2 linked regions of the Oreochromis niloticus genome follow. The protein of the gene in region 2 interacts with the protein of the main gene of each other region in a pairwise test. Links are inferred from orthologs where the notes say so. Each region holds a gene or a part of one and is shown on either strand. Other genes may lie near its edges.

Evidence for each region.
Region 1: the proteins of blmh (region 2) and nudt12 interact in binary tests that used the Homo sapiens proteins (3 or more experiments, as listed by UniProt). The two-hybrid records come from large-scale screens. The link is inferred for Oreochromis niloticus from reciprocal best matches to the Homo sapiens genes BLMH and NUDT12.

Annotation. Positions count from the first base shown.
Region 1 is NC_031977.2:32,255,306-32,271,792, reverse strand, and holds nudt12 (NAD-capped RNA hydrolase NUDT12), read right to left. Parts: upstream 10,530-16,487; 5' UTR 10,393-10,529; intron 10,342-10,392; exon of another isoform or gene 10,140-10,341; intron 9,249-10,139; 5' UTR 9,248-9,248; coding exon 9,042-9,247; intron 8,145-9,041; coding exon 7,841-8,144; intron 7,760-7,840; coding exon 7,492-7,759; intron 7,402-7,491; coding exon 7,234-7,401; intron 6,663-7,233; coding exon 6,549-6,662; intron 6,389-6,548; coding exon 6,189-6,388; intron 5,952-6,188; coding exon 5,841-5,951; 3' UTR 5,752-5,840; intron 5,611-5,751; 3' UTR 5,177-5,610; downstream 1-5,176. Other genes in the region: interleukin-6 receptor subunit beta, read left to right, coding at 1-85, 420-557, 761-886, 1,891-1,975, 2,497-2,578, 2,945-3,463; solute carrier family 12 member 2, read right to left, coding at 12,057-12,192, 15,554-15,621, 15,709-15,844, 16,184-16,270, 16,365-16,476. UniProt on the Homo sapiens protein: mRNA decapping enzyme that specifically removes the nicotinamide adenine dinucleotide (NAD) cap from a subset of mRNAs by hydrolyzing the diphosphate linkage to produce nicotinamide mononucleotide (NMN) and 5' monophosphate mRNA.
Region 2 is NC_031979.2:10,709,684-10,726,170, forward strand, and holds the start of blmh (bleomycin hydrolase), read right to left. Parts: upstream 9,782-16,487; 5' UTR 9,654-9,781; intron 9,180-9,653; 5' UTR 9,039-9,179; coding exon 9,029-9,038; intron 6,958-9,028; coding exon 6,760-6,957; intron 1-6,759. Other genes in the region: uncharacterized protein si:dkey-52l18.4, read left to right, coding at 10,934-10,985, 11,473-11,814, 11,910-12,155, 12,255-12,283, 12,400-12,507; rap1gap2a (rap1 GTPase-activating protein 2a), read right to left, coding at 16,261-16,269. UniProt on the Homo sapiens protein: The normal physiological role of BLM hydrolase is unknown, but it catalyzes the inactivation of the antitumor drug BLM (a glycopeptide) by hydrolyzing the carboxamide bond of its B-aminoalaninamide moiety thus protecting normal and malignant cells from BLM toxicity.

The sequences.
Region 1 (16,487 bases), on a different chromosome or scaffold from region 2:
AAGGAGTACCTGATCAGTGTGTTTCCTGTTTACAACCAGCAGTATGGGTCTTCTCAGTCTCTGCCGGCAAGTCTGCAGTATGGAGGTAAACACGAGCTCAGATAGAAATGTGTGGTGGTGATAACCTCTGCGTCTGCACAGGATGATTCAGATTTACCCGGTAATGTGAATCATCAGCTAAAACCTTGGTTTCAATCTCAGTATTAGTATTCTCAGTTAGTATTGTTTCTGTGAATAGAAAATGAGAAAAGTCTTATATAAGAGTCAATTAATAGTGATGCTAATGCAGTAAAATGGTCAAATAATATGCAAAGTAATTTACAGCAGAACAGAAGTTATTTACATTGAATTAAATGCGGGGAAAAAAATTGAGGAATCAATATTTGACTTTCGATCTGTGTGTGTGTTCATCTTCTCAGCTTTGATGGAGGTGGTCAATTTGAGGGTCAGTGTGACTAAGACATCAGTGACCATTATGTGGGAGTGGCAAAGGAAGTCTGAGCCAGTCAGAGTGAGCAGATATGAAGCAGTTCTGAGGAAAGACTCAGACAAACAGTGTATGTTGTCATGATGAAACATGTCTGTGGGTTAATGAGCCTTTTGGCATAAAATCTCACTCCACAGTAAAAAAAAACAACTTTGTCTTTTTTTCATTAGATTTGTCCATGTATATTTTCTCGCTTGCAGAAGTGTTACAGAAAACTGTTATGCATATTTTATCACCTTTCTGCAAATACAACGTACATTCTCTCATTTCCAGCTTTACCTTTGTGGCCAAATGACCAGCAGCACACTTTCTATAACCTGATGCCCAACGCTCAGTATTCTGTTACACTGTTGGCTGATAATGATTCTAAAAGCATCGTTCAAGTGACGACAGATTTCGGTGAGTTTCACTGAACCAGATTCCTTTATGTGTTTTTTTTTTTGCATTGCAGCATTGGCTACATTTCTTTGTAGTAGATTTCTTCTCAATATACTTAGAATCAATGATTGAAGCCATATCTGCAGCGCCCCCTGGTGTGTGGACTGCAGCATTTGTTCACCTGTGAAACCTAAGACCGTCTCCTCCTAAGAAGTCTGAGATCTCTATATCAAGCACTGCTTATGCATCTCTTTCTATTGATGTCTCATTTGTTGGGGCTGGGCTAACAGAGCACATGGACTTTCATTTAAAATTGACAAAAATTGCAGCTTCCACATTTCAAACCCACAAGGGAGGTTAAGTGACAACTTTTTTTCAGATATTATCACTTTATTGCCAAAACTGAAATGGTTTCTCCAATTTGACAGTCTTGACTTTGATTTTGCAGGATTTCAGAAATGTGCAGTAACTTTACCCCTTTCAAAACAAAACAGCATCGTTTGTAGTGGACAGCACAACTTGCTACCTCACATTTTCAACCCATCAAATAAAAACACTTTTCTGCTGTATTTCTGGAGGATATGCAAAAAAAAAAAAAAGAAAGTCTATATCATACAAATGCAAATAAGAACTTTTCACATGTTACAAGACACAATTATGTGAAACACACTTTGCAATTAAGATATATTCTATTATAATTATAAATGAGTGCACTGCCTACATTAAAGTCGGCTTGATGGCTTTTCTTTCAGCATCAAAAACTCTTATAGTAAAATAAGAGAAATAACAGAATAGAGAGCAATAAGATGTTGAATTTGTTATATAGGCTTTTAATTTGAAATGCACGGATGGATGGATAAAGTGCAGGTGGCTATTACAGAAAATGCTCGACAGTGAGGTACACAACTGACCCAGATGATGGACATAAGTATGGGTGATAGAAACATACTGCTGTGACTGCAAGAAAGTGATTTATTTATTCTGATTTTTGAAACATAAGAAGAATCTCATATTCTTCTTTCCAGATGATGTAAGGGTGGTGGCTACAGCAATTCCTCTGCTGCTGGTGGCTGTCACTGTGTTAATCCTCTCCATCCTGTCCAGGAATCTGTGAGTGCTGGGCAATCTGTTCTTTTAGCAATACTAATGCATTTGTTTTTCATGTATGCCATGTGATCTTTGGCCCAAACAGCGCATGCAAGGCATGGCATAAAAAAAAAGTATGTTAAATGTTATTTGCTAATAACTAAAGTCATATTTTGCGGTAGCATTACCAAAACTTGTCTGAGAACAGTTTAATAAATGAGAATATTTACCAGTATTTCACATTTTCTAGGATAGTAACAAGAACATTTATGGGATTTAACAGCTGTTAACACAGTACAAAACATCTGAATGTATTACAGCAATACAGCTTAGCCTTTTATCATCTGACCTCAAGTCAGTGGCCCATGAACCTGCTTTTTCTGGTCAATCCAGCTCTGAAAGATTAAACATGCTGCAAAAATGCAAACAATTTCCTGGAGATTCTCCTGGTTTCTAGGACTTACAGGAAGTCAGAAGTGAATGTTCTGATAGTACGCGGTTAGTCCTCGTCACTGATAATGACTTTAATCAACATCACTTTTTAGGTACAAGTCATACTTCTTCCCGCTAATCTCTAGCCCTCGACTAAGCAAAACAGGCCAGTGGCTGATGGACCCAAACCACGAGGTAATCTGTTTTTTTACAGCTTTCATATTTGGGTTACTTATTTACAGCTCATATATCTGTGCATGGGAGACTTCGTGCCCATCCTCAGACTCAGATTTAGAATATTAGTCCAACTAATTATAACAAAAACACCTGTTAATGATATCTACCATCACACAAAATTTGAACATGATATCTTGAAAACTGTGGATACTAATAAACAGACAACAGTGGGAATGGCAAAGACACCATACAGAAACAGGAACAAGAAAACTTCTAAGATTGACAAAATGACCACAAAGGATTTGCACATCTAAAAAAAACCAAATATATGTAAAGCTACAGCAGTCAGTCACAAAATGACCACTCATTCATTCTTTTCAACAGAAATTTGCAGAGAGGAGCATCCTTAATATTGAAGACTTCCAGGTGACTGATGTCCTCAGAGACAAAAGTCTCATCATAGCTGAGCGAACCTCTCAGCTCTTACCAGATGATGACCAGCGTGAGGATACCTCTCTGCTGTTGATTGGCTGCCTCACTCTAGACTCTGAGTATGTTTCTTATAGTGCACAACCCACAGAGAACCAGTCCCCTCCTCCTATCAAGGTTTTCATATCAGAGGAAAAGCAAGAGGCTGCCGGCGCTCCGCTGCACGAAACTAAGCTCTGGCTTCCTCAGAGCGACAAGGACAGAAATCAGGCTGACATCTCCGAGATATCACATCAGACCGAGGCTGCTGTGAAAAGTTACTTTCCTGGTTTGTCGACTGAAAGTCAGCCTGTTTATCCGATGACCTGTGAGACAGAGAACGTGTTGAATTGGGGCAGGCAGAGTGACTGCTCTTATCTGATCTGTGATGCAGGTTACATTTCTAACAGTGGCACAGGGGTGAAAACACATTGAGACAGACTCAGCAACGAATGAGCTCGATAAGATGTGGCCGAAAGGTTTATTACAGCAAGGAAAGCAGTTGCCTGTCTTGTGGGGCAGACACAGGGAAATAATTCATTGGGTCTGCATTTTTGTTTTTTTGGTATTTTTGTATAAAAAAATATAGAAAGTTCCACAGCAACATAAGTAAGGAGTGCCTCCTTTTATCCTAAGATCATTGTTACTCCATGTTTGTCAGGCTCATGTTGGTCAAATTGGTCAAATACTTAACTGAAGTACATGTTCTTCTCTCTACTTCTGCTTCACTATGTTTTGATTATGAACATTATACTTTTACTTTGTACCACTTATTTTAAGGGTTACTAATTATTTTGCAAATTTGAAAATGTTAATCTACTATTGCATTATGCTGCACTAATATAGATAAAGCAACCCAGCAGTGTACAGTACAAGTAATTCAAATCATTAACAGACACTTATACGCTATGTTCAAAAATATCCTATATTGTGCAGAAGAGATATAACTTGGACTTTTCACCATTTCAGACCACAAAATGTTGCAGGACGGCAGTGGAACTTTTATTTAACCAGACAAGTCATTAGAAAGACCTTATATGCAATGACAGACAAGACACAGACAAAGTAATGCTCCATTGGAGTCTTATTATGAAATATCATTATAGGGCTCCATGTGAGACTGAAAATAGTGCCCAGTTTTTTCTTTTAGCCCCTCTTCAGCTACAACCAAGTCTTCTAGAAAGATACTGAGGCATCGTCAGTGCCACCAGGTGGCATCTTAGTCAGATACTGAACCACTTCTACTGGCTGCTTTTACTGTGAGCTGGATGGTCTTGCTGGTTAATGAAGCCAGCAAGACCATATAATCTGCAAAACGCAGAGTCTAGATCCAAATTTGACACCTTCCACTCCTTGTAGACATCTAGAAATTCTCTTCATGAATGTTATTAAATCAATTGTTGAAAAGGGACGCCCCGGTGGACTCCAAACTGCAATATATTTCTCATAAAGCAAACCATTCTCTCTATGAATGTACAAGGGACAGATGGCTCATAATCACAGGAGCATTGAAGAGAATCAGACAAAATCACTGTCTGTTTTAGAAGCAACCTTGTTTTCTGAATTAACTTTGGGAATATATAAAATGTATCTGTTGAGGGTAACCCAGTCATTGGGGTAACCTTTATATATTTAGGGATAGGCTTCAGACTTCTTGCAATCCAGAATGCTAAGATTCTCATTGGAAGTGAGCAGAAAGGTCAGGATTAGAAATGAGCTGTCACTCAAGGTTGAGATGGTTGGGACAAGCGTAGAAGAGTGATAGGGGATGAGATGCACATAGGATGCCGAGTATGGAGCTGCTAGGCAGGAGGAAAAGAGGAAGACGGTGTGACAGAAGGATGCAAAGCATAGGCAAGGATCTCCAAAAGTTGAATCTGTTCATCTGGACGTAGTGTTTTGAGGGAGAAACGTTTCGTCACTCATCCAAGTGACTTCTTCAGTCTCAGCTGACTGCAGGTCACTTGGATGAGTGACGAAACGTTTCTCCCACAAAACGCTACGTCCAGATGAACAGATTCAACTTTTGGAGATTTACTTTCCTGGATGATTGAGAATGCATCAAGACATAGGCAAGGATGAATGAGATAAATCAGTTGATCTGTTGTGTTGAAGTTCAGCTTTCAGGGAGAAATGTTAGGCACATCCTTGCAGATATGCAATGTTCAGGTGTAACCATTATAAGGCATCTAAAAATTCCATATATAGGCTGGAATATTTGGGAAAAAAAGGCCCCATACAACAAAAATGGCTTACTTTGAGCAATTTATTTAATACTTGAAGTTTATTTTGACTCCTAGAAATAATCCAGCAATTATGTAATTTTACTCACATATTTAGATTTAATGAACTTATTAACGTAAATGAAAAAATTTAAAAATAAACAAAAGGCCCCACCCCGAAGACTCTGAATGGTTTAGCAGAAAATGGATGTATGGATGTTTGAGATTACATTTCTTGTAAAAAATGTTTTGTTTAATTAAAGGAAAGTTGAATGTGTTTTATTATAAAACAAATGAAGAGAATTCTACTTTACATAATCAAACTTTTATTATCATTTGTCCACCCGGGCAAATGAAGAAGAGCACGCTCCTTCTTCCATATTTAATCATCGTACTGCAGATATTTCCGAGGTGAAATGTCAAACCTGAGATTGTTGTACATGCGTGGAAGTCGCTTCGCAGTAAACTGATATTAAAGCACAACGTGTACAATCTGAAGAATGTGGTGAGTCAATTCAATGGGGACAAATTCGTTCCTATCCATCGAACCTCCTCAGCTGGGCGGGAGGTGGAATGATGAAGGTGTTCTGTTAGAGATTAGCGTTTATGCCGATCCAATGTCTGATCAGCTGGTGGGCGATGGTCTGCCTTGGGGGGATGTTAAAAGCTGGAGATGCTCCTCTGAACAAGGAGTCGATCACCTAAACAAGCAGAAAAGTTGGATTTCTGTCTCATTAATGTCTAGAATTGTTCATTATTAAGCATTAGAAGAATTGGCCATGGAAATGCATGAAAGCTCTGGAAAATTTCTAGTAACTGGAGCTGATGCTAACAGTTTCCAGACTGTTGTTATAAAATAATCTTCAGTAGACTTATTATTAACTCTTAACATCATGATCCCTGTTGGCAGTTCCACTAATAGTCGCACTGTTACTTACCTGTTGCCGTGTGAACCACTGAGCTTCCTCTATCTCATTCTCATCCACTTTGATGTCGGTTGATATGGCAACAGCAAGGCAGCCAAACATGAGGTTGGATGGCATTGGCCAGGGCTGGCAGGAGACATACTGAACCGGTCCGACCTTCACGCCGCTCTCCTCCTCCACCTCCCGCCTTACTGCATCCTCAATCGTTTCCCCTGCGGGGTATGACAGGGAGAAGCTGTCACCCTAATTTTTATAGCTGAGACTTGATTTATGGTTAATATTCCTGTGAGGATTAGCTTCAGGCACACATCAGTTGTTTAACAGCTGAGCAGTTTTTATGTTTTTCTGTGTGTGTGTGAGTTTGTGGTATACCAGGCTCTACAAATCCTGCTAAACAGGAAAACATCCCAGCTGGGAAGACCTTCTTCCTTCCCAGTAAACATTGGTTTCCATCTGGGTGGATCACCAGCATGATGACCACTGGGTCTGAAATCACAAACATATGGAAACTTTGTTACTCAGAGTGGGCAAAACCTACTATAGTATATGATGTGACGTCAAACATTAATAAAACTGAAGCAGGTGAATTATAAAAATATTACATTTCTGTTCATTTGTTATAAAAAAGGAAATGGCTATAGAGATAAAAACTATATTTAACCCCAGGCTGGGAACATATCTATTTCTGTTGGGCTTTTGTAAAGACTTTTTTTAGGGACATTTTTGAATTTATCTGACATTGCAACAGTAAAGAGTGGACAGCAAAGAGGGGCAAGAGAGCAGGGAAGAAACACAGGAAAGGGCTACAGGTCAGGATCATGCCCAGGCTGCTGCATACGGCTGTGTCTTCAACCAGCTTAACAGGCACCCATGGGCTTTTTTAATATGGGGGTCTGTAGGACTTGACTTAGAGCAAGCCTCAAGAAGCCACTGGAGAAACTACAGTTTTCTGTTCTTTTTAGCTTTTACATTTTTTGGTCATGTTTTTTGTGCACAGCATGATGGTACACAGTATTAACTACAGTGCCGATGAGCTGATAGATGAGCAGAGTCATACCAACTCGTGGATAGCAGGTATTGTGGACCCCCTTTAGACTCCTGCACTCAGAGTTCAGACAGCTTCTCTTGTGTCCTCCATCCTCCAGTTTGGTGCTGCTGCCACATGTCGGACAGAAGCTGTAGCGACCGTGCCAGGCCAACACCGATCGAGCCTGAGCCACGATCCCTTGCAGACAAGGAGAGCGGGAAGAAGTATTATACCCTCATACAAGAGAGGCAGGTGATCAAACAACAACACACGTTTTGTGTGTCTCACCGGCCTCTTCCTCATTTAGTTTCAGCAGGTCTCTGTTTGGCATCTTTGGAAAGGAGCAGTTCTTCTCCCTGCACCGTTTAACAAGGTCAGCAGCATCTTCATCAGTGCTGAAAGCAAACCAAGCAGGGGCCTCCCGGATACCCTCCTCAGGAGAGGAAGGGGAGGGATTTTTCCTCTTCTCCACTCCGAGGAAAATGAGCACAGTTGCAGGTTTCTGTAGGAGATCCTTAACTGCCTCATATCTGAACCGACACAGTTTGCTCTCAACCTGTTGCAATCAGATTCACAATTCACAAGACTTTCATCTTTATCACTTAAACTAGCCGTAGGCTGTAGGTTATAAACATACCGCTGCGCCGTCGTCTTCCTGGGATGTGCTGACCATGGGGCTGAGGTTCGAGAATATGAGGTAGACAGTATCTGGTTCTCTTTGTTTGGCCTCCAACCAGGCCTTGTCAGTCCTTTTCCCACTCAGGCGGTCCAGCGTCTCCCTGCTGAAGTAGTTTTCCTGTGGACTGATGTCAGAGCCCTGCAGGACTCGCCGGCAGCCATCGTCAGTCTGGCAGAGTAGGTTAGCGATGTGTTTGTGACCCCAGAACTTGGCAACATCATAGGCGGTCTGTGATGAACTGTTTACTATGAACTTATCACAGCTTAAAAAGTAGAATAAAACAAAAAAGAGGTTTTAGAGAAGTCAGGAATCCATTTATACATTCAAGGCTACAACATATCAAAGTTTGGGGCTCTTTACAACTTAGACTTTTAAGTTTTTAGATGTTTGTCATTTAAATTGCACCAACATTTTTTCTGTACCTGCTTATTATAGCTTCTTTGAGGAGGTTTTTCTATCCTAAATGGGTTTTTTTGCGACTATTTTTGTCTCTTCAGCTTTTATATTGATTTCTTTCACTAAAAGTTTTTGCCTTATCACACTGTTAATGCAAGTTTATTACTTTTAGTCTTGTTTGGTCTTCTTGCAACTCATAATTGTACTGTATTTTCACCACTAGTTTTATCCCTATTTTGCCTTGTTTTATACTTTAAAATATCATTTTAGCATATACCTCCTAGTTTAAATCCTTTTCATTGAATAAATTTAGCTACAGTTTTATCTCTCTCTTATTTTCAGTCTACTCCTATTTAATTTTTAATAAGTTTTAATTTAACGTAGCTGTGTGTAGCCAAGTTTTATTCTAGCTTCATTTATTTGTTTCAGAAAGAGAATCATCTTTATTTGGCCAAGTTTGTGCACACAAATAAGGAAATTGACTCCTGTTCACTTTGCACTTTCAGTTTCTTTAAATATTTTAAATCCTAGCTTTAGCCACTTTTCATAATGCTTGTCAGTTCCTGTTGCAGCATGTTTCTGCCCATCAAGTCTGCAAATGTTTACCTAAAAGTAACACATGTGGAATAGATACATCCCCTAAATACTAAAAATTATTAGTGCAGCTTTGAAAAAATATTCCACAATATCTCTCTTTAGTATTGTTCACTTAACAAATGGTACATTAATAACATTACAAATTAAGAGAAATGCAGTGATGTACCCATGTGACAGCAGCTTCTCCACCACATGAGAATGTCCATTGCGAGCTGCAAGCATTAGCGCGGTCCAGCCGCTGTATCCTGTCTGGTTGATGAGCGAGGGCACGTGGGACAGCAATATTGACACCTGGGACATATCTCCTCTTGCTGCAGCATCCAGAAACTTCTCCACCATGTCCTCCTTCGCGCTCAGTTGATAGCTCGTCATCCTGGATCCGGAGACAAAGACAATGTAACCTGTGCTAATATATGATCTGGCAAAATGTCAGAGGAGATATTATGAACAGATGAAGCAGCTAGCTACAAATAAATGTTAAAAAATGAAAGTGAAATGTTATTTTACAAGTATTGGTTTAAGAGCTAAAATAATCACAGATAAAAAGGTAAAAAGTTTTGAATAATTGATTGATGATTAATGTAAAGAAATGGGAATTTGGGTTTAACAACCTTAAAATATAGCTCAGTTTAAAATGCTGAAAAAACAAAGTACAACAGCAAAACTGACCCAAATAAATACCAACATGTCACTAGAACGCTATTTTTTCTATTCCATCTATTGAGTGGTTTGATACAACATCCAGAGAACGACTAAAATACGGAAAACAACTACATTTTGCTCTTGTTTTACTAACAGTTAGACCCAAGAACATTTGAATGATTTGGCCAAGTTACGGTAACTAATTGTGCCATCTTGTGGCACTCACCGGTATTACTGTAAAGAACAGCTTGACCCTTGTTCACTTCAGTTGACATCGCTGTGCTCTTTAAGATTTAGACATCAAGTCAAAATATTTTTTAATCGCATTCACTTGACAACTGCACTTAATTTTAAAATATTTTTAACTATTTCAAATTAGTGATTTTGAAAAAAGTGCCTGACAAATTATTTTTTTTGATCAAATGTTGTAATTTTCTGAAAACAATAAAAATAGGAAATACATGAATTAATGCAATTATAATTTAGCAAAATAAATAAGTAAATAATCCTACAGCGTCAATTCTACACTGTGCCTTTAATTAATCCTCCCTGTCTCATTAGCGCATCGAACTGTCAATCACTGAACCCTTTGACCTCAGCAATGGTTGCGAAATGAACTTACAGGAACCACCTTGAATTGCAGGTGTGCTTTTATAAATCCCACAGTGTTGAAGATTAAGCTTGGACACAATATTTGTTTGTCATGTGGTTTTAAAAGGCCTCTGAATACCGGCTCTGTCTCACTAACAGTTCAGGAAACGAAAACACGAACGAACAGGAGCGACATTCGCCGTTTAAGCTTCGTTTAAAGGAGACCAAACTTCACATTTCACGTTGAGTTTCATGTGAAAGATTATTAAAGCGTCATCTCTTGCCTTTCGCTTGGCGTCCACTTCCCCTCCGTCTCCTGTTGTTGGAGAAAATGTTACGAGGTGCGTTCAAGAGCAACAACCACGCTGATTATGGGTGGTGCTGCCTTCAGGTCCTCCCGGCGCTGTAGTATTTCCGACTTATAAAGGCTTCTCATACAAGAATGAAGCTATGTTAAAGTTCTTTACATAGTAAAATTGCTTCCTCCTGTATGCTCTCACCTGCCACTATATTGAGTATTACTACTAACTGAGTCCTCTAATTATTACATAGAAGAAAACTATTGCAATTAGGCATAATGCCATTGTTAAGTTGACCCTTTGAAGTTCAAACTGAGCATCAGAATCTCACTGAAAGGTAATTAAAATGAGTTTGAACATTACATGGTTGCTGGTGTCAGAGAGACTGATTTGACTTATTAGAAACAGAAAGGTTCCCACGTAATCATCAGAAAGTAACCATCAATTTTCTGTGTGAAAATAGGAAGGAAACAATAATTTAAGTAACCAGTCATTACAACAGAAGTTATGCAGAAGAGCATCTCTGAATACACAACACAACGTGCTGCTTCCAGAACAGAAAACTGAAGCTATAATTAAAATGGTATTAACAAAACTGGGCAATGAAAGATTAAAAACAATGTTGCCTAGTCTGATAAGTCTTCATTTCTGCTGCAACATTCACATGGTTGGGCCAAACCACAGTATACTTCTCTTCTGATGGCTGGAACAGGATATTCTAATCATGGATGTGCAGCTGACAAATCTGAAGCGATCATGTCAACATGGACAAAATTCTCTGAGGATTGTTTTCATCATCTTGTTAAATCTATGTCACGAAAAATGAAGATCGTTCTGAAGTCAAACGCTGGTCCAACTATACTAAGGTATACTTAATAAAGTGGCTAGTGAGTATATATGTTATGCATTGTTCTACTATACCTCTTATAATACCACTATCTAACCGAGTTTATATAAATAAAAAAAGAGTTTATGTTAATTGTTTTTTTCAGCCCTTCACTGAAGAATTGTGTCATCAGATTAAAGTTGCTGAGGATGAGATTATATTCTGATTTTGACTTTAAGTACTTCACTAATGCAGGAACAGGAATAAAGCTGACAAAAACCAAACTTGAATAAAGCATATGTTTTAGTTAATCCTTTATTAAAATAAAGTACAAAATAAAGTTAACAAAGACGGAGCCTCTCCCTTTGTGAACACAGGTGGGAAAAAAAAACATACAAATGTCATTTTATAATCACAAAAACTTACATTCTCAAATCCAAACTTTTATCCTTATAAATAAACTTTTACTCGAATTTACCTGTAGTTACTCTCATTCACATAAAACTCACAGAGGAAACGGAACAAGCAACCTGTTAGTGTTAGTGTCAAATCTAAATGTTGACCGGATTTAATTAACATGTTAAAAACAATCGATTTAAGACAAATGGAAAAAAAAAATTAGTCTAATAATTTTTTCCTTCACAGCTGAACAGTTTCACAAGCTTAAACCATCACGACGTTTCTGTTTTGGTGCAGATGGAGGCTTTCTCATACTGTAATAAATATGGAGAGCAAAACACACTGTATGTTTGTGCGTGAGCAGAGTAGGTATATGACTCTGTGTGTGTGTGTGTGTGTGTGTGTGTGTGTGTGTGTGTGTGCGTTAGGAGTAAAAGGTGAGGACGCTCTGGTGGTTTCCTCGCACCAGCAGCAGTGGTGGGAGGCCTTTGGACAGAGTTTCCAGCCAGCACATGTAGAGGGCGCTCGACACTGTGCCCTTTCTTGCCAAAGGCATGCTCCTAGACACACAGATAGAGAAAGAAAAATTCAATTTTTATGATATTTATACATATCAAAATCAAACCTAGAGCAGCATTAGAAAGCTAAAGAAGACTGCATGATCTTGTAATTATGAGTTATGAGCAGTTAATGTAAGCTTAAAGGTCAAATTATTTTGACATGTTAAATTCAATGTGAGAAGTCTAATTTACTTTATATGTAACAGCTACGATGAGTTACACTCCGTGTCTCACTATTTTAACTCTATATTTGTTTGTTTTTCCATTAACTTCACTGAATTAGCTTTAAGCAGCTTATAAAACATTAACTATGAATTATGGAGCTCAGAGCTTTATGGGTCATCCATTTTAATGCTTCTGAAGTTCCCTGAGTGTCATCAGCATTTTAAGATTTCTTCAGTATGAAAGTTTAAGATATAGTCAAACTTTCCCAACTTTAAATCTTCGGGATAACTGTTTTTTGGGTTCCAGTGTAATTGGACAAGTTAACACAGTCATATATAAAATGCAGTTTTTAATACTGTGACGAAACATGTTTCACAATCTGCTGCACACGTGGCCAGGTCGTGCTGGAAGCCATGCATGCCCATGCGTCACACCATGTCTGCTGCAGATGATGTCGTATGCTTCAGATCACGAATGGTTCCAGGACTTCTCCACACTGTTGTCACTTTGTTACAGGTTGTCTGTGAAGGTTCTCAGTCATCCAGGTCATCGTAGTCAAAGGAGTTTGCAAAGAAAAGCGTCTGGACTTCTTTAAGTTGCTTGAAGACGTTTCACCTCTCATCCGAGAAGCTTCTTCAGTTCTAAGGTCAAATGGCTGAGAGTCCCAGATTTAAACCCAGTGGGAGTATCCCCCCAAGGAGGGACAAAGGACCCCCTGGTGATCCTCTAATCACATGCGCCAAGGTGTGAAAGCGGGTGTGGGACCTAATCAGCCAGGGTTTCGGGTGAGCCCATTGTGAAACCTGGCCCCACCTTGTCATGTGAATTCCTGAGGTCAGATGGCCCAGGATGTGAGTGGGCGTTAAGGCGTCTGGGGAGGGAACTCAAAACTGGATTATAGATGTGTTCCCCACACCTCTCGTGGGGAACATCCCACACCACATCAAGAACTCCACCGACTTCACCGACAAGGTCCAGAAACTTACCCTGGATCCAGATGAAACCATGGTGTCCTTTGATGTAGTCTCTCTCTTCACTTGCATACCCACCACGGAGGCAGTGGAGACTGTCAGAAAACAACTACAAGAAGACAGCTCCTTGGAAGACAGGACCAACTTCACACCCGATCAGATCTGCACACTGTTAGACCTCTGCCTTACCACAACATACTTCAAATACAACGAAGGCTTCTACAGACAAAAACATGGCTGTGCCATGGGCTCCCCTGTGTCACCTATTGTAGCCAACCTTTACATGGAGGAAGTTGAAAGAAAGGCTCTTGGCTCTTTCAAAGGAGGAGCACCCAGCCACTGGTACAGATATGTAGACGACACCTGGGTCAAAATCAAGACACAAGAAGTGGAATCCTTCACTGCGCACATTAACGCCGTGGATAAAAACATCAAGTTCACCAGGGAAGACACAAAGGATAACTGTTTGCCTTTCCTGGACTGCGCTGTGCACATTGAAGAGAATGGCAACCTCAACATTGAAGTTTACCGGAAGCCCACACACACGGACCAGTACCTCCTCTTTGACTCCCATCACCCTCTGGAACACAAACTTGGAGTAATTAGGACCCTACACCACCGGGCAGAACATGTTCCCTCTAAGCCTGAAGGGAAAAAGAAGGAACACACACATGTAAAGGAAGCACTGAAAACATGCGGTTATCCTAACTGGGCGTTCATAAAGTCAGCAAAGAGGCACAGAAAAGAAGATCAGACACCAGCGAGGGAGGATAAGAAAGACAGACGCAACAACATTGTCATCCCCTATGTAGCCGGTGTATCAGAGAAACTCAGGAGAGTTTTCTCCAAGCACGACATCCCAGTGTACTTCAGACCCAGCAACACACTCAGACACAAACTGGTTCACCCGAAAGACAAAACTCCAAAACACAGACTGAACAACGTGGTGTATGCGGTACAGTGCAGCGAGGAATGCCCGGACCTCTACATTGGAGAGACCAAACAGCCACTTCACAAGCGCATGGCACAACATAGAAGAGCCACCTCCACAGGACAAGACTCAGCAGTCCATCTGCATCTTAAGGATAAAGGTCACTCTTTCGAGGATGCCAATGTTCACATTTTGGACAGGGAGGACAGATGGTTTGAAAGAGGAGTGAAAGAGGCCATCTATGTCCACTGTGAGCGACCATCTTTGAACAGAGGCGGTGGTTTACGACACCAACTGTCTGCCATCTATAATCCAGTTTTGAGTTCCCTCCCCAGACGCCTTAACGCCCACTCACATCCTGGGCCATCTGACCTCAGGAATTCACATGACAAGGTGGGGCCAGGTTTCACAATGGGCTCACCCGAAACCCTGGCTGATTAGGTCCCACACCCGCTTTCACACCTTGGCGCATGTGATTAGAGGATCACCAGGGGGTTCTTTGTCCCTCCTTGGGGGGATACTCCCACTGGGTTTAAATCTGGGACTCTCGGCCATTTGACCTTAGAACTGAAGAAGCTTCTCGGATGAGAGGTGAAACGTCTTCAAGCAACTTAAAGAAGTCCAGACGCCTTTCTTTGCAAACTCCTTTGACTTTGTTACAGGTTGACGTGAACAGACAGAATGCTGCTTCAGAACTGCTGGAGCCTTTTTAGAGGTGTTTTGGTGAAGTTTAACTTGGCCTTGTTGTTCTTGAGTTTGATGAATGGTTGTGGTAAATCCTCTCTTTTTTCTTTCATTGGCGCCTTCTCTTTATGGTTGACCTTGGAACTTTATGCCTTTCTCCTGGAGATTGTTCTTCTTTACCATCCCCCTGGTGTATCTGCTAAATGTCCAAGGCTTTTATAAGTTCACTGGTGTTCTTTTTCATAGTTCTAAGAATTTAATTTTTAATTAATTTTTTTAATTAAATCGTCCCACTAACCGTCTTATGGTTTTATTTCATTTTTGCAGAAAGCAGTGTCCATTCACGAAGGGATTTTCTTGTCATGCATTATTTTGCCAATTAATGATTGACACTGGTAGCTTTCCAGCTTCATAACCACTTATCTAACTTAGGGACGCTGGGAATGCTTTAACATATCCCAACCGATACAAGGCGAAAGGCAGGGTCCACACTGGACAAGTCACCAGTTCAACACAGACAGCTGTGTGCTCATATTAACCAGGTTTTTTTAAATGCTAGTTTGTCAGTAAATTAAAACAAATGATGAAAAAGTTATTACAAAGTTCTTACATGACAATGAGTTTGGCAGTGCTGGAGTGTTCCTTCAGCAGCTCGTTCAGCCTGATCTGACGATTGGTCTGAAAGTAACACACAGTATATTTACATGAACCACTTGAAGAGAGCACTGTGATTGGTCTAAGTGTGTCTGCAACATGAGGACAGACCTTGGCCTTGTACAGCTCCAGTTCGTTGTCAGTGATCCTCCAGGGCTCCTGGGCCTTCAGCCTCTCAGCAGCCTCCTGCTCCATGTCGTCTTCCTTCAGCCTGTACGGCTCGATCAGCTCCTTAAAGGTCAGCTTACTGTAAAGTAACACATTCATTAGGTTTTTAGAGCAGCACTATCAGTTTCATCCTCTCCACATGATGCTTCATTCTAAAATAACATTTAAAAAATATTTCAAAGCACTTAAATTTTTAATATTACAAACTTTCTACATGTTGACTTTCACAGTCATCAAATAATCGATATATTAAAAAAAGAAGAATTCATGAACAAATCATTCACCTTTTGACTTTGGCTTTATAACACTTTGTAAGCAATTTACGCAAGTAACACAGATGCTAAAGACATTAAAAACACAATAGAGAAAATCCATAGTGATGAAAGCTGCTGAGCTCAGGAAGTTTCAGAGGCCTTACTTGTGTTTCTTGGGTTTGGTGTTGATGTCACCGAGGACGTTTATGTCAGAGAAGTCGATTCTGAACCTGCTGAGCAGTGTGGCCATCCTAACGTGACATAAAAACAATAACACAATAATAAATTAAATGTATGTGGATATAAAGTCAAGTTCGTAGTAAAGATAAGCAGCTGTCGACTCACGCTCGGCGGTCGTGGTCGATGCGGTTGATCTTTCCGCCGATGAACACGCGGATCCTGCAGTCGCCCCACTTACTCCTGTTGGTCAGCAAGTAGGGAATCAGCAGAGTCAGGCCTGCAAACCAA
Region 2 (16,487 bases):
GCTGGATCTCTCATGAAGGCTGTGAGGTGCTGAAATCCACATACTAGAACAAGATTTCAGTTTAAAGAAAGCAACCCAAAGATGTGTCAGCTGACCTACCAGAGGTTAATGACAAACTGTGCAAGTGAAACATGCTAAAAAGGGGAAAATAAACTCGTTATTCCAGTGAGAAAAATATGTAAACACAATGCAAATCTTACATTTCATGGAAAAACTATAAATGATGACAAGCTCAGAAAAAGGGAGTGTGGCGTTTGCGTACATAAGATTTTCTGGAGGGGGACAGACATTTGTTTAGAACTCTCAAAGATGTCGAAGAAGCTCCTTCAAGCAATTACTTTGGTGTTCCTCCACCTCCAAAGAAATGTCACAAGAAGTCCGAACTGCAAAAGAACCGCGTATTCTCGGAAAAGTGGTTGCAGGAGGTGAGCTGGCTTCAAACAAATGATGAACGCACAGATATGGTGCAGAATATGCCGTGAAAATCCCACTCTAGCGGACAAAAACAGTGCCTTTTATATATACGCAAACGCGCGTTGCAACTTCTTATCTGGTGCACGTCTTTTATTTTGACAGCCCATGCGCACCTGTGGACCACTTCTGTGCACCCCTGCATATTACATACAGTCCCTCTAACAATTTAACCCTCTCAGGCTCAAATTAAGTTTTAGTTACAAGAAAAATCTGATATTTGGGGAAAATTATCAAAAAAAACCACTCATAAAATATGTATGTGGCTTAATCAGGTTGTTAGTGTTTTAACTGTTGCAAATCTGCAACGCCTGCCTTGAGAGGGTTAAGGAAATAAAAAGTAATGCTGCTTCCAGTCCAGCTATGTACAGAAATGATTTATGAATGCAATGTTTTACACGACAACTGTTCAAACAGGTAGGCAACAGGTCAAACCCTCTTCTTTCAGCTGCCCACTTTAGGGGTTGCCATAGAAAATCTTTTTCCATTTGAGTAAAGAATCAGCTGTAATGTTTTGACTAGGGATGGGTATTGATAAGATTTTAACGATTCCGATTCCATTTTCGATTCGGTTTAACGATTCGATTCTTTATCGATTCTCTTATCGATTCTTATTTTTAAAAAGGAGAACACTAAGGTCGATTAGCTTAGAATTTTGTTTTATATCTTCTCTTTGAACAAGATAGAAATTTAGGAGTAACATGGCCTTACAAACCCAACAGTGAGATCTTAAGAGATCCACAGCCTATGGCTCTTCAAAGTGGTGTCACAGGGTCCCCGGGGAAAATTGTAAATGTAAAATAATAAAATAAATATTCTTCTGTAGCAATAACAAAGTATAACATAAATTATTCTGTAGCAATTACACAAGAATATTCAGTAATGTCCCTGCCTACAATTAAACACATTCACCATCTGCTGTGGCAAATGGCTGCAAGGCTTTTACCACAAACTTAGTCACTGCTCGGTGACATTCGGGCCTGAAAAGAGACGCTACCGGTAGACTGCAGCGACAACTGCCAGCGAGCGCCAGCCAGACTCTGTCTCTCTCATCATGGTCACCTAAATGCACAGTAATGGCAGGTTTTATAATAAAGCAGATCGCGCTAACATAATATGCACTGTTAGTTGATTATTTACCTGCTGCATTAATGGGAGAGGACGTGCAAACGTTACCGCTGCTGCTGGGTTGAGATTCACGACTCCGGAGCGGAATTAAAAACACGACATTCATTTAAGTTCATCGCGTGTTTTGTGAGCAAATGCTTTTGCATATTCGTAGTGTTCCCTCCCTTAAATGAAATATCTACTTTGCAAGTATTGCAAGTTGCCCTGTTGTCATCCATTCCAGTAAAGTATAACCAAACTTTTCAGCGTTTGAGCCGCTTAGGCGCCGTGTTTCCTGCCAGGTAAGCTCCGACGCGCCGCAACGTGGTGACGTCATTCGGGGCGACTGGAATCGATAAGGGAATCGTTTGCAAAAATGGCAAACAATTCCAAGGAATTGAAACAGTGGGAACCGGTTCTCAACAAGAACCGGTTTTCGATACCCATCCCTAGTTTTGACTATTACAAACATTACAGGCACAAACCCGTGGACCAAGCTGAAGTCTATTAGCTGAAGTTCTTGACAACCGCCTGTCCTTAATGCACACCATGTACTTTAAACTTGTGCCTCTCACCAGAGCCAAGACAAGATCAGATTCACTTTACTACACTGTAGCAATTTCAAGACTTCAGGAAGTGTTAATCTTATCAGTGTTGCCAGTGTACAATTTATATCTACATTTATGCTCTTCACCATATTTACCTTGGCTAGAAATGTTTAATGATATAAATTGCTATTTGCTTCAGAAATGACATCACTAACTGTCTATTGTTTGAACTGTAAAATGTCGCTGTGAGGACAAATGTACAACATTACTGAATTCAGTGTCTTAAGCAGCTGTTTGGGTTGACTGACAGGTACAACGGTCCAGAATAATACATCCAAATGCAAATGTAGAAATTATCCACGTGCTTCTTGATATTAAATACATAAATGAAATGTTCTAATAAAAAGTTACTGCTAAATATTTTGCACATAGACGTTTATTTATCACCATCAAACAAGGTGTAAACATTCTGAGCATCTGTGACTGGCAGCTGGTGCAAACTTGACAATGAAAACTAAAAATGGGAATAATTTCTAAATGAAACAGACAATAAGTGGCACTCTGACACATAAAGAAGAGCATAAAGAATCAGGTGGTCTCTAGTGATCATTGACTATAGTTTTGGGATTTCATAAATCACTTTTGCCATCCACCTGGCACTGTGAAGGGCACATGGCTGGAAACTTGAATCCTTTTGTGCCAAGTGTCTAAACTCTAAAGTGTCTATACTGACCAAGATGGCGCCGGTGTACGTGGCTGCTCGTCTGTCGCTGTCAGTTTTGTTTGTTTTTATATTGCTCCTGTCGTGTGTCACTCAAGAAATCGGGTCATTACTGGTGTACGATCGCCAATCGCTTCTGAACCTCAGAAGTTCTGGACAAAATACAGCTCCATTTTCTAACGGAGGTCAGAATTCATGGTGTCCGCTGCTGTCACATATCCCGACTTGCCTATGCCGTGCAGTCATGCTACCTCCCCGGCGAAGACGTCGGGGTAGGCGCAGTGGTCGGCTGGTTAAACTCAAGATCTCTTTAGCGCACCATCCCACTACCGTCAAAGGAATACAGAGATTATTTCCTGGAGTTTTTGTGCATCGACGTTTCCTGGACCCCGTGGATTCCTGCCTCATCCCCGTGGTCTGCCAGGATGATGCGCAGCTCCTCCGTGACCCCTGTCCCCCTCGGCTCAACGTGCGCCGGGCGAACCTCCGCAATCTGAGGCCGCTGTGTCGGACTCCCTGTGCCGCTGGGGCTTTTACCTCATCCCCGGCTCCTGTCAGGATTGGGCTGGTAAACGCCAGATTGCTGGTGAACAAATCTTTTATTCTGAATGAGTCATTCATCTCCTGGAAACTGGACTTCATGTGTGTCACGGAGACTTGGCTTAACACTGGTGAGTCCAGTACTTTATCTGAACTTTTACCAGCGGGTTGTTCCTATTTTAACACACCAAGGACATCAGGGAGAGGAGGAGGTACGGCGGTTGTTTTTAAAAAGGATTTTAAATGTAAACTGTGTTTTACAGCCCTCGTTTTCCAGCTTTGAGCTCACGTGTTTTGAAGTCAGTCGCTCTAACTCTGTGCTCTTTGCTGTTATTTATCATCCCCCTAAATACAATAAGAATTTCATAAATGACTTTTCAGAATTTCTAGCTGGGATTATGCCCAACTACGATCATGTTCTTATTGTGGGAGATTTTAATATCCATGTCTGTTGCCCTGATAAACCTCTGGTGAAGGAGTTTAAGCCTCATTGACTCTTTTAATCTGGTCCAGTCCGTACCTGGTCCCACACATGAACACGGACACACACTAGACCTGGTCTTGTCACACAGTCTACCTGTGTCTAACGTGGAAGTGACTGACACTGCTTTCTCTGACCATATGGTTGTATTATTTGATGCTGTGTTTTCACGCACTACAGTTCAAACCAGCGCTCCTGTTCGCCGCTGTCGGATTATTAACCCTTCCACTGCTGCCCAGTTCGCAACTGCTTTTAACCAGCTGTCTATGCCCGCCAATCGTACTCCCTTGGACACAGAGAACCTCAGCTCCTGGTTTCAATATTCTTGCCTTACTATTCTGGACTCTGTGGCACCATTAAAAACCAGGAAGCCCAAGGCTAAAACTGACCCTTGGTTTAATGACGTCACTCGGGCTGTGAGGAGGGAGTGTCGTAGAGCTGAACGCAGATGGAAGAGGGACAAACTGCAGGTGTCTCTTCAAATCCTAAAGGACTGCTGGCGCCTCTATCAGGATACAGTCAAAGAGGCTAAAAGAAAATACTTCTCTAAGATCATTTCCTCCAACAGTCACAATCCACGTGTGTTATTTAAATCTATTGACTCAGTCTTAAATGCTCCACAAAGTGGCTGTTTGGAGGCCTCGCATAAACTGTCTAATGATTTTATGTGTTTTTTCATTGAGAAGGTTGCAACCACGCGGGCTCTCATTTCTTCCCCTGAGTCTGACCCCTCTGTCTCGATCCCTTGCTCTGCTGTTTTTAACCAGTTTGAGCCTGTGACTCTTTCTTATTTAGAGGATGTGGTTGGCCACCTGAGGCCCTCTGGTTCCCCAAATGATCCTGTCCCACCACAATTTTTTAAGGAGATTTTTCCTAGCATAGGCCAGGCTGTTCTTACTGTTATAAACAGCAGTTTAATATCTGGTGTAGTCCCTGCTAATTTTAAGCATGCGGTAGTACAACCCTTGCTTAAGAAACCTGCCCTGGACCACACTGTATTGGCTAGTTACAGACCCATCTCCAAGTTGTCCTTTATGTCTAAAATCTTAGAGAAAATTGTACACTGCCAATTGATGGATTTTTTAAATGAGAATGGTATCCTGGAGGTCTTTCAATCAGGTTTTAAAAACTTTCATAGCACGGAGTCAGCACTCTTAAAGGTTTTTAATGATATCCTCCTTTCCTGTGATTCTGGTAATCATGTTGTTCTTGTCCTCCTTGACCTAACAGCTGCCTTTGACACTGTAGACCACAACATTTTACTGTCTCGCTTGCACCATCTTGCAGGCATTCGTGGTACTGCTTTGAAATGGTTTCGGTCTTATCTTTGTGACAGAACTTTTAGTGTTAACTTTTTAGGGTATGAGTCTTCCTCTGCCACTTTTCAGTCTGGGGTCCCGCAGGGCTCAATTTTAGGGCCTCTGCTTTTTTCATTATATTTACAGCCCCTGGGAACCATCCTCAGAAGGCATGGAATATCCTTCCACTGCTATGCTGACGACTGTCAGATTTATCTGCCTCTGAAGCAGAAAGAGGCCTTCTCTATTAAGCCACTTCTAGCATGTCTAGAAGACATTAAATCTTGGATGTCCCTAAACTTTCTAAGATGTAATTCAAGCAAAACTGAGGTGATTCTGTTTGGTCCTAGTGGACCTTGTGTACCCTCCGCTATTGATTTGGGACCCCTGGCAGAGTATGTTAAATCTGTCGTTACAAACCTGGGTTTTAAGATGGACAGTGATTTTAAATTAGGGCTACTGTCAAGTCCAGTTTTTATCATCTAAGGCGCTTGGCAAAGATAAGACCTATTTTATCCAGGCCGCATCTTGAAACGGTAATCCATGCTTTTATTTCATGTCGTTTAGATTACTGTAATGCTCTGTATTGTGGAGTTAGTCAGCATCTTCTCTCTCGTCTGCAGCTGGTCCAAAATGCTGCTGCACGACTTTTAACCAAAACTCGTAAAAGAGAGCACATAACTCCCATCCTGGCTTCACTCCATTGGCTGCCTGTATATCTTAGAGTTCATTTTAAAATTCTCATGTTTGTGTTTAAATGTTTAAACGGTCTTGCCCCAACTTACCTCTCTGAGCTTCTGCATCCTTACTCACCCCCCAGGTCTCTCAGGTCAGCTGACAAGCTGCTCCTGGAGGTACCCAGGTCCAAGAGAAAGCTCAGAGGGGACAGGGCCTTCTCTATTGCTGCTCCTAATCTGTGGAACAATCTTTCCCAGCACATTAGAGGCCCCTTCACTGTCCACTTTTAAAACACGTCTTAAAACCCATTTTTACTCCTTGGCTTATGACACAGTCTGACCCTGATTTTATTGTTTTAATCTAATGTGCTAATTTTATTGTTTTAAATGTAATTCTCATCATCATTTTTTTTTAATACTATTTTATTATTGTTTTTGCTATTTGTGCTAATTTTATTTATTTTAATAATCATTTATTTATTTATATATATATATATATATATATATATATATATATATATATATATATATATATATATATATATATATATATATATATATATATATATATATATATATATATATATATACACACACACACATACATACATATATATACATACACACACACATTTTATTTATTTTATATTATTATTATTTTTCTAATTTTTTTAACATGTTCAATGTATCATTTTTGGCATGTCAAGTGTACAGCACTTTGTGTTCAGCTGGGGGCTGATCTGAAAGTGCTATATAAATAAACTGCTTGCTTGCTTTTGGGCGATGGCCAGTCCCCCCCTGAAACAGGGCATTTCAGGAACACCTTACCCAAACCATTCAGCCCTAATACAAACACTTTAAAAATGCATCTTGTGGAGAGTACATGTGTATGTAACTGCATTACATCATGTCCTACCTGAGTTTTTCTGGTTGGTGATGGGCTTGCCCTCTGTGGGAATAGAGTGCTGGAAGATGTGCACAGTATCCTGTACAGTCTGCCGGTGAAGACACACCTCCAACGGGTCGATGCAGGTTGACACATTCTGGGCCAGCAGGTAACGCGGCTCAGACCGCATCCGCTTAACAAAGGTGGCTACCTTCTCTTGACTCAAACCTTTAGGAACAAGAAGTGGGAGACAGGGAGTGTGAGGGGGAAGAGGGAAAAAAAAATAAGGGAAGGAGAGGGAGGACAAATAAAGTTAGGACATTATAGAAAAGCTTACACGGCTAGACATTCAGACACATTGTCTGCATCCAAAAGTGGAATTTCCTACTGTTCCAATTCCCATGACTCAACTGTGCGGTTTAAGCATGTGCACTTCCCACTTAAGAGCTATCTTTCGAGTACTCACGCACTCAGATGTCAGAATGATGCCTCTAACACCAGATCGATAGTCATAAACTAAGAGCATATGCTTTATTGAACACCATAACCGCCTGGTGCTTCACTTCTTTTTTCCACAGTCCACACAGAGATTACATTGGAATCTATAAAGGGTACCATATACAATTAAGATTAGCCCTCTGATAAAGAATATTCTGGGTACATGGAGAGGCAGTACCAGCAAAAGAGGACAAAAATGAAGAAAGCTTTGTAGTAGCACTACTACAAGTTGCCCCAGGGAGCTGAGGGCTGGTCAGAGCTGGCTGCTGGGATCACTCATCTGGCTCCATCTGTGAGAGGAACGCACTAGAAAGCCTGTCCAGTCCCACTGGATGGGGGTAAGGAGGGGTGTGCACGCGCACACACACAGAATCAAACTGGCACTAGTGTGTGTGTGTGTGTGTGTGTTTTATTCCGTCAAATAATAGCATAGAGCAATTAAACATTGAGAGGGACATTGCCTAGTCATGCATGCTGCCTCGAGTTCAAACCTCTTGCTCAGCTGCATTCTGTTATTTTCCATCAACACAAAGCTCAAATGCACTGACCATCACAGATTAGGACAGTGTCAAATCTCATTAGCTGCTGCGTTATCAAAAAAAGAAAAATGGGAGAAAAAAAAAAAAAATGTAGAACCCAGCCTAAGGCAAAGAGTATTCTGGGAGTGCGGCCTCAGTCATGTGTCAGTGCAACACGGTTTTCCTTAAGCCACAACAGCTAAAAGTTATGACATTGATCAGTATGGATAGATGATGAGGACATGTGTCAAAAGGTCAGCCTGTAATAGTAAAAGCCAGCAGCTTATTTAAATACAATATCTGATGGGAGTGTGTGCGCGCGTGTGTGTGAAGAAACGGGAAAGACTCAGCCCAAATAAAGTTAGTTGTCCAGGCTTTTAGTCAACAACTGAGGGCATGAATGGTGAGGACAGAGATCACGGTGGCTTTCTATGGAGAGGGGCCAAGCACAGGCAGCCAGGGTGACTTGCAAATTTACACACCAGTGCTCGTACAGCTGGCTTTACATTACCCAAGCACTTTATTATGACCGTCACTGCTCCATAAAGCTGGAATACAGACTTTAAAAAAAAAAAGGAAACAGGCTTAGGAGGTAGTCATTGTTGCTGTCAACTTTACAATTAAAAAAAAAAATGACAATATTGAAATTCTTAACGTTTTTAATTTGTTTAATTTCAACTTATCTTTTATTGTTAAATGTTGCGGTGTAAATCAGAGCACCTGGCTAACACAGATCTTAGGTTCAAGTTCAAAGTCGACCTTTGCCCAGAAGCATAAAAAAGAGGTGTGAAACAAAGTAGGGAGTATTTCTCGGCTGACTTGGGTGGTTATTGAGATCTACTGAAAAATAAATGAAACTATTCTCTTTTCGGGTAAAAAGCAGGGTTCCCCAAACAGAACTCTCACTTCCATGAATGGCCCCGACTTTAAAGAGTCACTGTGGCATTTCCAAGACGAGCTAGCTACTCTCTGGCTAATAAATCCCGTTCCTGGAAAGAGTTCCTAACGCCTGAGCAGAGGAGCAGGATTAATGTATTTAAGATTGTGATGTTGGCACCGTGCTGACAACCCCATAGCCCGTCGGGGGGGGTGAACTGTCAACCTAGCTCACAGAGAGATGGACGGCATAAAGTCGTGCTAGCAGGCTGGCATGCTAACGCAGTGAATGCTAACTTTAGCACGGGTTAGCTCGGTCAGCTGTCATTCTCCTGCAACCAAATGCAAGCTCCACTCATCGAGGCAGCCACAAACACTGAGAGGGGACACAGTGACATTTAACCTACCAGTTTCCATGTTGCCGAGAAGCTTGAGGAGCGTCAACTGTTGTCCTGGAAAGTAGCCGGCTCTTTGTTTATCTCATTCACCGACAGTCTGTCAGTGTAACCACGGGGTGCGCTCGTTTATGGGCTCCTGGCTCGGTCTTTGACGTGGCGGCTGGGCGGGGTTTGAAAACAATGTAGACTACATTAGCTCATGAAGACGATCAATGACTGTAGAAGTCATGGAAGACGATTCACATACTTTGTAATGGCACATGCTCACATTTACTTCTGTACTGCACGTATTTAACTCTTTATTTTTTCAAGAATATAAAATCTACTAGTTCTACTCAAAATTTAGCTTAAAATAAAAAACCATTATCTGTAATAAAGTAAGGAAATAAAACAAATATTTTGTACACTGTTTTCTTAATTAGCCAACATTTTCTCCTGGAAGCTTACAAGGGAGTAATTGTTCAGTGTGAACACTTTTAACCCATGTATGCAAATCATGTTACAAAGGGACAACATTAGATATACTCAACTTTAGCCACCATTTTCAGCCTCTGTGGGTTTCTCAGCTAAATCGCATGAATAATAACCCTAGCTGTAAATGCGGGCTAAATTATACTAAAGTCATAACACTTACTACTGGCGTCTGTCGTTTTTTGAGTTTCTTTCCAAAAGGAAGCACCGTTCTCACTTCCTCTGTATTTCCTGCACAGCGCTGTGGACGATAAACAAGCGCTCCCAAAAGTCAAAACTGAAAGATTTACCGCATACGAAACGTCCGGTTTTCAAAATAAGATCACGCGCAGCGCTTTTTGAGCGACACAAACATCACATAGGACATAGCAGAAAATGAGGACTGTATGTGCTTAAATCACTTACATGCGAGTATATTCTTTAACAGCCCATTATTTGCTTAATAGTGTTTGTCTTCAAAGGTAACCAAAGCTTTTACTTTGAAGACTTGATGTGCGCTGGGAATGGGCTTGCAGTTGTACTCCGAGTGGAAAATCCCTACCTGCGCTTAATAGTACAACAGAAACGTAATCGTAAAAAACTCCCCAGCCTATTTTCTGAAATAAAGAGAATACAAGCACTTTCGCTATAGTAACAGTGGTAAGCTATGCAGCCAATGCAAGTGGGTCGTTCCTAGTATTCCTAGTATTTGGTGCCACGGGGACTCGAGTCCCCGTGACACAATATAGTGTATTTGTGGAAAAGTTATTTCTGCAAGCTTGTCTCACACTATTAACCCCCTTCTATCATATACAGCAATTATACGCTACCAAAATGATTAATTTTTTACAATATTCAATGTTTTCTTTATTATTTATTTATTTTTAGTAAGAGTAGTGCTTTCTGAAGTGGGATATGCCAAAGTTTGAAAACCACCGAGCTGTAGCGAGCTATTCAGCCTCAGCTGTCAGAGATCTGTACTCCAAATAACCACATAATCAGCCATGTATGCCTTAATCAAGGTCTCTGGACTAAAATGTTAATCAAGACCTGCACAGAAATGAGAAGGAGGAGGATTTGCTGGCTTCTGTTCTCTTTTGTCTCTTCATGTTATAGTTCTTTGAAGCCGGCCCCTTTCCTGCAGGAAATTTTATATTCCTGTTCATGAGATCACTGCTTCCCGTATTTCAGTTTTGCGTGTGTGTGCTTGTGCCTTCAGGTATGGGTAAGTGTTCACTTCCTTCATCTCTGACCGGATAGGAACAACAGCAGGAGAAAGGAAAGACAATATAATTACTGAGTAAAAGAAAGTGAAATACCGTGATCCCACTCACTCGCTCCCTAAGATTTCCAGAAAGTGTGGCAGCATTTAAGAATCAGTCGTAAAACGTAAGCACAAACTCTCTTAGGGGAAGTGATGAACGGCAGACAAAAACACCGTTAAACACACCCTTACAGTCAGACATGTATACCTATCTCCTCGGTGTCATCTGCTTCGTCTGTATCTTCCAAGCTGGTAAGTGATCTCTTTGAAACTCTGACCAAAGTTCTCATTACATAAAGGAAAGTCTCTCTTCTTGCCTTTTATTTGACTGTTTTTGTTTGTTAAAGCGCTCGTGTGAACTCTCCATCTGCAGTATTCTATAATAAGATGCCATTTGCCATGTGTTCGCCTTAAAAGCTGTGGTAATCACGGTCATGCCAAAGCGCACTGCGTGCGTCTAGTTCTTTGAAATGTTTGTTAAGCTCCGTGCCTTTTAAATGTGGCCGCCATATGCGTGTTTTATTCTGCATGACGTGTGTTTCACTGCATATGGAAATTAGCAGATGTACCAAGTTAAACAAAAACATGTGCGTGTGTGTTTATGTTCCCTGATTATTAATGCGTTTTAGTGGTTATAATCTAACCAGATTGGGACAAAGGAGCACCAAACTGCACGAGTTTCCTTGGCTACACATTCACGTTCCCCTACAGTGACTTAAATCTAAATTCCTTCTTTTAGGTCTCTGTGCTGAAGAATGCCAACTTAGTATTTTGGCAAAACGCGATATGGATTATGTGCCAGAAGGGGACAGCTTGTCATTGTCCTGTGTAGTTCAGCACTGTGGAAACAACTGGACCGCTGCCTGGATGTGGGAAAATTCAACATATGATTTTAGGAAGCCTGTGAAGGAAAGCGAGAGACACCATTTGACCAACAAGACAATTTCAGCCAGTCAGACAAAGCTATTCTTAAACATCCAGAGTGTCAACCAGTCGGATGAAGGTTCCTATGGATGCATGGTTGTTTGGGATACAGGTGTAAGTGAAAATGGACATCGCACGCACGTGAACATTACCGCAGGTACAGAGAATGACATATATTGAAGTGCATCACAGTGCATCTGCATTTTGGCCAGCAGGTCTTACTGCTTGTCATGTATCCTCCTCATCATATAGCTCTCATCACAGGTCCCTCTCCAAGGAAACTCCTGCACAGGGTTTTGATCTGTGCTTGTGCATTACTCTGCCTTCCCATCATCCTGGAATTGGCTCGCTGTCTGAGCTCAGAGGTCAAACCACAGCCACTTCCCAGGGCACAGGTCATATACGAAGTTCCATACGCAACCCAACCAACCATCTTGGCTCCTCAACCTCCACCTCGATGCCCGGTACCACAGAAATGCAAAGCATACCCTCCCAAAGGTATATCCTGTGTATTTCCTTTTGTTAACCTGTTATGAGGCAATACTCTGCAATTTTTACCATGCTGTCTTTTCTTCTTCTTTTTTTTGTTTTTTGCAGCTCCACCTAAAGTCAAGAGGAAGCCAGAAGTAAGTGAACGTACTGTTTTAAAACAGTCCTTGAACATAGTGAACTCGCTGACAGGCTTGCAACTCCTAAACTGCCCCCCCTCCCCCCCACCCCCTTACTTTTCACACTGTTACAGGTGATGTATGCAGTGATTTCCCAAGGTGCACTGAAGCAGCAGAGAGCCACGAGACAGCCTGCCCAGTCTGCAACTGTCTACTCATCCCTCAGATTTGACAACCCCTAATGGAGTTATGCATTATTTTTATGAATTAAAAATAATCCCATATCTGCTATTTTTCCATCTAGAACCTTTGGGGGGAGAGGGTGTGAGGTGCTAGTTTCAATCTCCCTGTTTGAATCTCCCTGTATTGAGCAGTTTCATGTAGGAACTACTCTTCCTGCCAAATTACAACCGCCAGCCACATCACCTGACCGAAACAAGCCAGCAGCTAGCTAGTAACACAGGACAGGAGGAGAGAGGGAATTGCCTGTACTTATTATCTCCTACCATACTGTCACACTGAGCAGGAGCCTCTCACCACAGATGCAGCTTCCTTCTAAAAAACCAAAACACATGTATAGTCCTGTAAGAAGGTTTTCTTGGGACTCTGTGCAGTCCTATGAAAAACTAAGAAGACCTTTGCTGCTTCCATAGGAATTAAAAGAGTAAGTAGCAGCTAGGTGGAGTTGATCAAATGCATCTGATAAGCTGATCACCAGGTGTGAACGCCTCTATGAGAGCAGAGGTTTTGGCAGTGTGGAGGTCTGGAGCATTCAGGTGTGTGTGAACACAATTCCAAGGAGGGAAGACATCAGCAATGTTCTTAAAGAAGCAATTGCTGCTGCCGGGAAGAACTACATAACAGAATCAGCGGGCTGGGTTAGATGTGGATAAAAACGAACAAAAACAGATGAGTATGGCTTTTTTGGATCTTTTATGACAAGAAAACTTATTTTCTCTAAAAAGAACATAGCAGCACGACTTAGGTTTATGAAATTGCATCTGAATAAATCTGAGGACTTCTGGAACAGTGTTCTTTGGACAGATGAGACCAAAGTGAAGCTGTTTGGCTGTAATGTACAGCACCATGTTTGAGAAAGACCAAACACAGCATATCAGCACAAACACCTCATACTAGCAGTCAAGCACGGTGGTGGAGGGGTGATGTTTTTGGCTTGTTTTGCAGATACAGGACCTGGGGACCTTGGAGTCATTGAGTCAATCATTAACTCTCCTGAATACCAAATTATTGTACAGTAGAATGTGAGGACATCAGTGTGACAGCTAAAGTTGGGCTGCACCTGGGTCATGCAGCAGGGCAATAATTCCAAGCACAGCAGCAAATCTACAACAGAACAGCTGAGAAAGAGAAAGATTGATGTGTTGCAACGATGTGGTCAAAGTTCAGACCTCAACCCGACTGATATGCTGCGACCGCATCTTAAGAGAGCTGTGCATAAACAAACCTCAATGAACTGAAGCAACACTGTAAAGAAGAGTGGGCCACAATTCCTCAACAAGGATGTGAGAGACTAAAAAAGTTCATATGTTCAAACTACTGCTGCTAAAGGTGATTTTGAAAGCTATTCAATAACAGTGTGGACTTACTTTTCCACAGGACTGTATGGGACTACTTTAGGTAGGAACCAGAAAAAGAGCCACTTTAAAAAAGGATCACTTTCATGTAATGTTACATATAATAAGGAGATATTGCATCGCACAGCTGTACCACGCTGAGGCGCTACAGTAAGCAGACTCTGCTTTGTGAGATGATTTCACAGATCTTCTGGTTTGTATTGTTCTAAAATGTGACCACATTAACTGCTGTCAGAATAATGTGAAGGTGCTGCAGTGTCGACAAAATGTGAAACAAACTTCCCTCACGTGTTCAAGTATATTACACATTAAAGTATAGACAAGAAAAGCACCCGTGTGGAGAGATTGCATTAAAAAAACAACAACAGAAAACCAGAAACAACACACAAATATGACACAAAATACAACATTTTATTTTAGAATAAATTCTCAATGGCACATTACATAACCAAATATACATATACATGTTTAGACATCTTTTAACTTAATATATTTCCTTTAATCATTTTACCGTTAATTAGCGTACTCTGCAGTAACAATTTTTACATGACATCGATGCAAAAAAAAGTTTAATAACTTAAGCGTATTAACAAAGGAAAGGCTGCAGGGCATTTTTTTTTTAGGCGACACCTGCTACAAACTATATGACATCTGAACTTCCCCAGAGGATTTCTATCCCTGCTTCCCTTACTCGAGGTAATCACCGACCGAGGGCAGCGTGTGTTAGGCAACACGCCTGCCTCTAGTCCTGATAAATTAGAAAGGTACTACTCAAGTTAGAACAGCTTCCTGGCAAGTTAAAAGGTGACCTACATGTAAATCACAGAGGGTGTTTGTAATTTGGGTGAACCTAGCTATTAAACCTTTTACACTCTCAGGCCAGCCTAAACTACAGGAACTGTTCCCTACACAGTAAGATTACACCGACATTCTTCCTAACACACACCAGCTTGATTGTTTTTGGTCACACTGGAAGCGAATGTGTGTGTCTTTATGCTTCTTTTCCAGGCTAATGTCAGTTGAAGATTAGACCCGTGGTCCTGCTGTGCCTGCGAGCACCTGACTTTGCAGTTTTTACTTGCATTTTTGCAACAGCTAAGTCCTTTTTTTTAAAGGCTCATAGTTTACATTCAAAGTGTTCTTTGTAACTTCATAGGTGGTTTGTTATAACCTGAACTTCATATTTTTCAAGTCGTCCTCATCAGCTCACATCCTGGGAAAAACCCTGGAGATGTCCTAAAGAGCCGCCGTACGTACACGCCGATACACCGAGCTAGAGAGTTTCAATGGGAGGTATCAGAAGGTGAAATGTTTTCACTGAGTGCAACATCTATTTTGAGCAAATGTGGGTGTAGATCGGCTACCTACAACTGTGCTGTAACCAGATCCCCGTCCTCTCACATAGTGAGACGCACAGAGACGAGACGGAGGCTGAGAAAGAAGGTGTCAGCGGCAAAAAGGGCTTTTTTTTATGTGTGTGATGTGATAGATTGTAAGGCGCAGCTTTGGCTAAAAGAAGCTTGTGGCAAAATGTGTTGGCAGTGCCCCTCCCCACCCCCCACCCCTGCTGTGTCCCTAGCCGAGCTCTTGAGTTCAGGGCTATGAAGTTGCCCCTACGGATACAGAAATGCTGTCCTAGGAGGAGACGCGTCACGTTTATAGTGCAGTAGACACAATGCAGCAGCTAGCGGGATTACAAAAAGCCTCGTCGAAATCAAAACCTGTTCTCTGGAAAAAGCATTTACATTATGCAAAGAACAAGCTCAGAGAGCACAGTGGAGAAGACTCCCAGTGGCGGCGCCTCCGAGGTCTTGCTACTGCGAGTCTTCTGTGCGCAGTTTTTGTCTCCGGATGTACCGTTCAAGGGCGAAGGCAAATACATCCTGATGGCTGATGGTTTCTTTTTTTCTTCCTCCACTGGGCACTCAACAGTCAGTGAGATAAAGGTTAACAGTTCGGCCATAAACTTGTGTCACAATTCTTCTAGGTGGTCATCGTGTTTCTCTCTATCAAACAAGACGCTTGAGGAAAAAAAGCCGAGCTCGGCTTGAACTCACAGTATCACAGCTATGCCAAAGACCCTCACGTAAGGTGGACGAGCAACGGTGCAGCGAGTATCGACTAATCTGCAGCTAAAGGTTGGTTAGAAACAAAAGCCAAAATGTCAGCTGCTCCCCTCCCTATACACTCACAGTAGTTTCAGTTAGATTCTAGTGTGCAGGGGACTCGGTAACCTTGTCAGGTTATCCTTGGCATTGGGAAGTGGTTCTACAGTGATTTTGTGGTTGTTGCTGTGACTTTTTTATTTTGTTGTCGTTGTTTTCTTTTTTTTGCAGCTCTGTCAGCAGGTGCTGTCCTTTCATTGTGCAAGGTTGGGAGTTTTTTCCGTTCCACCCAAAGCTACTCAGACTGAAAGAGAGAAGAGGGAACAAAAAAAAAACAAAAGAGAAGAGAGAGCGTTCAGCACACGTCTTTCAGTCCGGGCTTATTACCCAACATCAGCTTGAGTGTTTCAGTCACATTACAGTGTTCCAGAGATAATGAGATGTCTATAAGATAGACAAAGTGTTAAAAAACAGACAGACACACACACCAGGGGACTTTTTCTCATTGCTGCCAGTGTTCTG